Ovis aries: one gene and its partner. The protein of the gene in region 1 interacts with the protein of each later gene in a biochemical or structural test. Links are inferred from orthologs where the notes say so. Each region holds a gene or a part of one and is shown on either strand. Other genes may lie near its edges.

Region 1 (3,539 bases):
ACACCAATAAAACCAGCGACATCATCAACAGTTGACCAAATCCACAGTGCCCCCAGATTAGTCAATGCCTGCTATGGATGAACACTGTGATAGGAATCATGGGGGAGACAAGATAAAAAAGTAGTTTCTGGCCTCTGTGACACGACAAGCAGTGAAGAGAACATCCCAAAATATGTGAAAAAGTAAAAACAACATCAAGCAGTCAGAAGATTGCACTATATGAGTTAATAAACTTGGGTTGTAACATTTGGGCCCTGGGTCCACAACAGGAGCCAACCACTGTGTTCTAGAAGGTTGCGAGGAGGCTCACTCAGGGAGGGCACAAGGTAGGCCTGAAAGAGCCGTGAGGGTCTGAACAATTAAGGAGAGGGCCTCCCCAGGCCCACAATAAGACAGCCTAAAAAAAAGGAAAGGAGTAAAATGGTATATTTTATGGATTTTACTACAATTAAAAAAAACAAAGGAGAAAAAGGCCTGTGCCCCCAAGCTGTCTCCAGCAGAGTAAGAAAGTTGGCACGGGGTCTTAACTGAGAATTCCTATGCATAGGTGGAAATATCCTGATGAACTTTGCCAACTGATACTGTCCAGAACCACATACCCGACAATTCCTCCTCTAATTTTAAATACCAACACCATGTAAAATACAGTTAAAGAAAAAGAAACTAGTTGACCAGAGAGGGAGAGGTGGGAATAATGAAGAGATCTGAGATCTCTTTTCTACCAGGGAAATGCCCCAGCAACTCTGCTATTGTTATGAGCAGAAATCCCAAACCCAGAGGTTCCAATGGGTCTCCATTCTTTGAGTTTTCTGCTGAGCGTGAGAGAGGAAACCTGTCCATTTCTAGAAGTGAGTTGCACAAAATCTTTAGCTTTCAGCTCCTAGCTAGCTACTAATAAAGCCCTGAGTATCCAAATCCAAGGTATTAGTTAACATTTGCTGATCACCTGGGGAAAAAAAAAAAAATCCTGGACTAGTAGGATAAAGCAACTTTTACAGTACGGAACACCTTCGTCATTTCCATTTCAATACTAAAATGAAAATTATTCGGTTGAAATCATGCCAATGTGCTCTTGATCTTCAGTTTTAGCGAACAACAAAATCCATGCAACAGCTCCTGAAAGGAAGGTCAGTGAAAACAGCAAAGTAGGAGAAATGTTCCCACTTTCACATAATGGTCCACATGAGAGGAGAAACAGGCTGGGACACTGTCTAAAGGACCATAATAATTCACAGTAAATGCTGTTCTGTGTGTTTTACTCTGTACTAGTTCGATATAATGTAATACAAAATGTCCATTGTGAGGATAATACCTGGCCTAAGGTGCAAGACATTGAAAACTATGCTAGCTTAAGTGTTAAAAATAAGCGGCTTGCTAAAATAATCAATTCTGTTACTTAACTTACAATTTCATTTCACACCCCCTCAAATCAATGAAATACAAGCTATGAGAACTTACTTTAGTTACTGCCAAAATTTCTTTCAACATCAGAGATTAGTCACCAGTATATGAAACCAATGAACTCATTAGCCTAGAAGCACCGATTATTCACAGCAAACCGGGAGATCTAGGAGCTTCTCTTAAGAGATTTATCAATTGCCCACACAGTGTTGGGTGATTCTGATGCTTATCCTATGTTACCTCATAAAATTTCATAAGACTTTCTGAAACAAGTGTTAATCTACACAGCTCTGCTTCTGTGTATTTCTGGTCTATTTCCCCTGAATCCACTCCACCCCGCCTTTCTAATTCCTAGTAGTGTGAGAAGCTGAGGTCCTCTGATATGCACCTTAGACAAAGCAAATACATCACATGTGTCCAGAGGAGGCAACACATAATTCAGTTTGGTTTCAAGCTACAGGCCATTTAACCAGGCCGGAGGAGACTTTAGCAACAGCTCATATTTAGATTTGATTTCAGGGATTACACTTGGGAGGTGACAACACTGCTTACCTTTAGGACAGAAGCTAAGCTGGTCATGTGCTCATTGAGGGCACCCTCGGACTCCTTGTAGGTCAAGCACGTGAACTGGTACTCCTCAGGGTCGAAGGAGTCGGCCCCCTGCTGCTCCACATCGCTGGCCACTCCCACGTAATAGTCCTCTATGTCCCCAGGGTCCTCATCCTCTTCCTCCTCCTCACAATTAGGGTCATAGTCCTCTTCGTTGCTGTCAGACCCCTGGCTATTCATGTCCACAGACATCTTAACATCCAGTCAAGTTGCAGATCAGGAAAGCAGTTTTTTCCCCTCCCCCCAAATTTCACCACTGTCTCAAACTCATTAGTGTTTTTGTCTTCTAAGGGAGGAAAAGAAAAAAAATATGTGTTAGTTACTTTCACTGTGAAAAGCTGTAACAGAAATCATTCAAGAACCAAAACGGCACAGCATTGGTCCTACACCCTATGGCCTATTCCAACTCTCCTCTCATCCAGGAAACCTCACCATCATCTCCCTGCCCAGGCTTTTCAAAGGGAAACCCTTTCCTGGAGGGGCAGAAGCAGTTAACAATGGTAACTTCACATGAAGGGTCTGGCATGAAAGAGTAAGGCTGTCTGCTCCATGTCAAGGAGTCAAATTCCCACAGAGTTGTCCTTCCTGCCAGGGTCCTTAAGAGAGAAGCACATTCCCACAGCTGATTGCCCAGAGTGGAAGTATCCTAAAGGCTGAAGAGCCGATGTTTAAATTTTCTCACCCAGTCGTGCCCTACTGAGTAGTGACACAGACAGAACATAAATAGGGACGCGGTTCCATCCCACTACAGTTTCTGGGGAAATAATACCAGTGTTTTACAGACATCGCTCTCAGATATATGGGGGGAAAAGTGCATAGTAAAGAAAAAATAAAACCACACAGCTCTTCAACATCAACATCCTCCTCTTGTCTGCAAAGGTAACTGATTTTTCCACTTTAAAGGGTTCTACTAATCCTCTAAATACTACTACTTTGGCAGGATCGAGCCTAGGAAAAAACAGAATCTACCTAGGGTAAAGAAACAAGATCAAATGGCAGCAGCTACTGAAAAATCCTCATAGATCAAAATGTGACTCAATTACATATAAATGAAAAGAGAATACTAGTTGAAAAAGTAAAACAGTCACATATTTTAACTCTTAGAGACGATTTTGGCAAATACTCATTAACTTCTCTACACAAGAACTATTTCAAGTGACCGTTTCCAAGGAACAGTATCAAACAGTGATTTAAATCTAAAACTAAGAGGGCCTTAAAATGCAAGAGCATGTTGGACTGAATGGAATGAAATAATTTATATAACCAAATCTGGATTAAATACTAAAGTAAATTTAAAACCTATTTGAAGTAGATAATCTCGCCAAAAAATTTATAGTGAAAAAAAGGTTAAAATGAATGTCTACTGAATATGTAACCAGTCTAAAGGACTACAGAGTCACATTTTAATGATATTATAAAAGTATCAATGAATCTACCTCTGATATTTTACCTATAAATGCTTAAATTTAAAAAAAAGTCACACTAATGAGAGGGCAATAACATTTGCAGTTTGACTTTTAATAAATTGT
Region 2 (4,153 bases), on another chromosome or scaffold:
TGGTCGCTGGACTTTCATCCACTGCACCACCAGGGAAGTCCCTAATTCACGCTTTTTAATAGCCGTGTAATATTCCACACTGGAGAGATGCCTTCCCTGCCCCCGGCCAGTCCCCAAGGGATGGGCATCCGGTTACATGCAGGTCTGTTTGTGCTTGTTCCTCATGCTAGAGAGGACTGGCCTATGTGCACAGAGAGATGAGACTGTAGGCTGGATTCCTACAAGTGGGATTGCCGGGTCACCGGGTCATGGAGTACAAAGATTTTACGTTTTAATAAATACTGCCAAATTACTTTCCAAAACTGATGTAGCACTTCACAGTGGCAGGCAGCCTGTGAATGCCTATCTCCCCACATTCCAGCCCATAGCCAACACTGGCTGGTGCCAGTCTGGGGTGCTGGGGACAGTGGAAGGCATAGTCATTACTTTGAATTGCATGATTCTGATTTTCAGTGAGCTTTTTGTTTTTTAAAACTCACATGTGCTTATGTGAGTATTTCCTCCAGCCTCTGCGGAGATTCTCTGAGGACGACCTTTGGGGTGGGGTGTGGAAATGGACTTGTCCCTGGAAGAGAGGGCCCAGGCCTGGGGCTGGGGGCTCTGAGACTGCGCACTTCCCAGCAGGGCCGCAGTCAGTATTCGCTCATCAACCAGGAGGGGCTGAGTCTCAGGCTCAGATGACCCCAAAGCCCGGGGACTTGCCCAAGGTCACGGCACCAAGGGTGCCGCCTGGCTGGGCCGCAGCCAGGCTGCGCCTCCGGCGTGCCTTCGCTCTGCACCAAGATCGCCGGGGAGATGCCTGCGGGCACCTTGAAGAAGGTCGGCGGCTCGCCGCCAACTCAGACTGGGCGGGAGAAGGTTGGGGTGGGGGGGGGGGGGGGGGGGTTGTTGGGCGTCGGGGGATGGCGGTACCTGCCGTTGAAGCCCGGGACGGCTCCCGCCTGGCCCCTCGCCGCGACCACCGCGAGGACTAGCGGGAGGGGCAGAGGCAGGGGCCGGGGCGCCGACCAGGCCGAGCGTTCTCAAGTGCCTGCCGGCTCTCCTGCCTCGGTTTCCCGCTCGGAGGCAGGCGTGGGTGTGGGGGAATCCGGAATGTCCGAGGGCCTGAGGTTCTGGCTTCGGGATCTTGGCGGGCGCGAGGTGGGGTTGGGTAGGCTGCGCGGGGTCCCGGCCAGGGGATAGTCGTGGTGGGCTGCTCGGGGTGGGGTGGGGGGGCTCCGGGGGCAGAGGGTGGCGGACAAAGCGGCGGCACCACCCCGCAGCGCGACCCAATGGAATGAATGGGCTATAAATAGCGGCCAATGGGCGGCCTGCGTTGCGCCCCTTAAGAGCCGCGGGAGCGCGGAGCCGCCGCTGTTCGCCTGCGCCGCGCCCTGAGCTGCAGACTAACCTAGAGCCCCCGCCCCTGCCCGACTGCTCAGTAAGTGAGCCCGGGGGCCCGGGGTGGGGGGCGCGCGGGCACCGAGGCGGGGGTTGTTGTGCACGGAGCTGGGGGCTGGGGCCAGGGTGTCGCGCGCTCCGGACCTCCCGGGGTCCGCCGCCTGGAGTGGGCGCGCCAGTTGGGCCGGGGGTCCTGGGCGCTGTGGTAGCCCCCTGCGTGTAAGCGCCGACCCCTCTGACCTTGACCGAGACCGGGCTGACCGGAGCCCGGGGCCCTGGGTGGTTAGCAGGTCACCAGGAGGCCCAGAGCCTCGGGACCCGCTGACTCCCGCGTCTCCCCGCAGCCCGCCGCCGCCATGCCCTTCTCCAATAGCCACAACACGCTGAAGCTGCGCTTCCCGGCCGAAGACGAGTTCCCCGACCTCAGCGGCCACAACAACCACATGGCCAAGGTGCTGACCCCCGAACTGTACGCCGAGCTGCGCGCTAAGAGCACCCCGAGCGGCTTCACGGTGGACGACGTCATCCAAACCGGCGTGGACAACCCAGGTACGCGCGCCTCAGTCCCGAGGTCAGGACAGGAGCCCGAGGCTGGGCCCCAGCGCCCCCGCTCCCTGGCTCCCCCCGGGCCAAGGTCCGGGCGCCCTCTTTGCGCGCATATCTGAAGGGTCCTCGGTGGCTTGCTCGGGCCTGGCAGTGACGTCACTGTCCCCATTCCACGCTCCCCCCAGGCCACCCCTATATCATGACCGTGGGCTGTGTGGCCGGCGACGAGGAATCGTACGACGTGTTCAAGGAGCTGTTTGACCCCATCATTGAGGACCGGCACGGAGGCTATAAGCCCACCGACGAGCACAAGACCGACCTCAACCCCGACAACCTGCAGGTGCGGGGTGGCCCGGGGCGAGGGGCCGGCTGGGTGGGGAGGGGTTGCCCAGCGCTCAGCCCTGCACGGCCCCCAGGGCGGCGACGACCTGGATCCCAACTACGTGCTGAGCTCGCGGGTGCGCACGGGCCGCAGCATCCGCGGCTTCTGCCTCCCCCCGCACTGCAGCCGCGGGGAGCGCCGCGCCATCGAGAAGCTCGCCGTCGAAGGTAAGGGTACGGCCCGCTGAGCGGCGCTCTTCGGCCCCGGGCCCTGCCGGCCTGTTTACCAGTCACCCGAGCCGCCGCGCTCTTATCTGTCCGTCGTCTCGGGTTTCCCAGAGGGACCGACGCCCAGCCCCGCGCCCACAGAGCCCTGGGGCCGGACGATGGTCGGCTTGGGCCGTGTCGCTCCGGAGCGGCCCGCCGCTCGGACCGGGAGGACTGACTGGGCTCCAGCCAGGCCAAGCGGGCATCCTGGGGGTGCGGGGTGGGGCAGGAGTCCACCCGTCCTCCTGAGCGCGCTCCTCCGCAGCCCTGTCGAGCCTGGACGGTGACCTGGCGGGGAGGTACTATGCGCTCAAAAGCATGACGGAGGCGGAGCAGCAGCAGCTTATCGACGACCACTTCCTTTTCGATAAGCCCGTGTCGCCCCTGCTGCTGGCCTCGGGCATGGCCCGCGACTGGCCCGACGCCCGCGGCATCTGGTGCGTATCCCCCGGCCTCCGCCCGCGCCGTACCTGAGGGAGGAGGGCGGCGCCGCGCTCCTCAGGTGGGTTTGGTGCCGGCCTCCTCGCAGGAGACCTTGACCGCGCAGGTGCGGAGCGCCCCGGGCGGGTGGGGCCGTCTTGCCGGCGTTCCTCCTCCCTCCCCCCGCCTCCGGGAGCCGCGGCTCCTTGTTTGCGCTCTCCTTTCCCACCCGCCGCCCGCGGGGAGTCGGTCAGGTGCGGGGTGACGCAGACGCTTCCTCGAGTGGGGGTGGGGAGCCGGGCTCGCAGGCACCGGGCGTCTGCGCCGAGATAAAGCGACTCCCCGTGGGCGGGGCGGGCTGCCTCTGCCCCTCACCCCCTAGGTGGGGACCACAGGGTGCCTGACCGGCTAGCTGGAAGCAGCTCAGGGCTTCGCGTGCCCTCTCTGAAGTGCCCTGTGTGCGCCCAGGGTGTTGATGGGGCTAGAGTCCTGATAGCAGCCCCGGGGCCCTAGGGACAGCTGGAGTGAGCACCTCAGCTACTTGGGAAGTGCCCCGGCTCGGGGGCCTCGCGAGGTTTTGTTCCTGGATGTGTCCTCGTCCGGGGAGGAGACTTGACTGTGCCCCTCCCCCAGGCATAACGATAACAAGACCTTCCTGGTGTGGATCAACGAAGAGGACCATCTGCGGGTCATCTCCATGCAGAAGGGTGGCAACATGAAGGAGGTGTTCACGCGCTTCTGCAACGGCCTCACCCAGGTCAGGGCCAGGCCCCAGGGTTCAGGCAGAGATGGAGGTGACCCATCAACCCCCCGGGGAGCCCAGGTCTTTGTTGCCTCAGGTCCTGTTCCAGCTGGTCCCCTGGGCGGGTGGCTCAGCCAGGCCTACCCTCTCACACGTCCATTTCCAGATTGAAACGCTCTTCAAGTCTAAGAACTACGAGTTCATGTGGAACCCGCACCTGGGCTACATCCTCACCTGCCCGTCCAACCTGGGCACGGGGCTGCGGGCCGGGGTGCACATCAAGCTGCCCCACCTGGGCAAGCACGAGAAGTTCTCTGAGGTGCTCAAGCGGCTGCGGCTTCAGAAGCGAGGCACAGGTGAGTAGGGGGTGCCAGGCGGCAGCACGCTCCCCTGGGGCTGCCCCCGACGCAGCCCCGCTGAACTGGCTGTCTCTCCAGGCGGTGTGGACACGGCCGCCGTGGGTGGGGTCTTTGACGT

The links. The genes of interacting proteins can lie anywhere in the genome.
Region 2: of the proteins of ARIH2 (region 1) and CKB, one has a biochemical effect on the other in vitro, tested with the Homo sapiens proteins (2 studies listed by BioGRID). The link is inferred for Ovis aries from reciprocal best matches to the Homo sapiens genes ARIH2 and CKB.

What each region holds. Positions count from the first base shown.
Region 1 is NC_056072.1:51,075,316-51,078,854, forward strand, and holds part of ARIH2 (E3 ubiquitin-protein ligase ARIH2), read right to left. Parts: intron 2,297-3,539; 5' UTR 2,203-2,296; coding exon 1,954-2,202; intron 1-1,953.
Region 2 is NC_056071.1:65,893,213-65,897,365, reverse strand, and holds the start of CKB (creatine kinase B-type), read left to right. Parts: upstream 1-1,352; 5' UTR 1,353-1,420; intron 1,421-1,724; 5' UTR 1,725-1,736; coding exon 1,737-1,929; intron 1,930-2,111; coding exon 2,112-2,266; intron 2,267-2,342; coding exon 2,343-2,475; intron 2,476-2,779; coding exon 2,780-2,951; intron 2,952-3,567; coding exon 3,568-3,691; intron 3,692-3,842; coding exon 3,843-4,032; intron 4,033-4,113; coding exon 4,114-4,153. UniProt on the Homo sapiens protein: Reversibly catalyzes the transfer of phosphate between ATP and various phosphogens (e.g. creatine phosphate).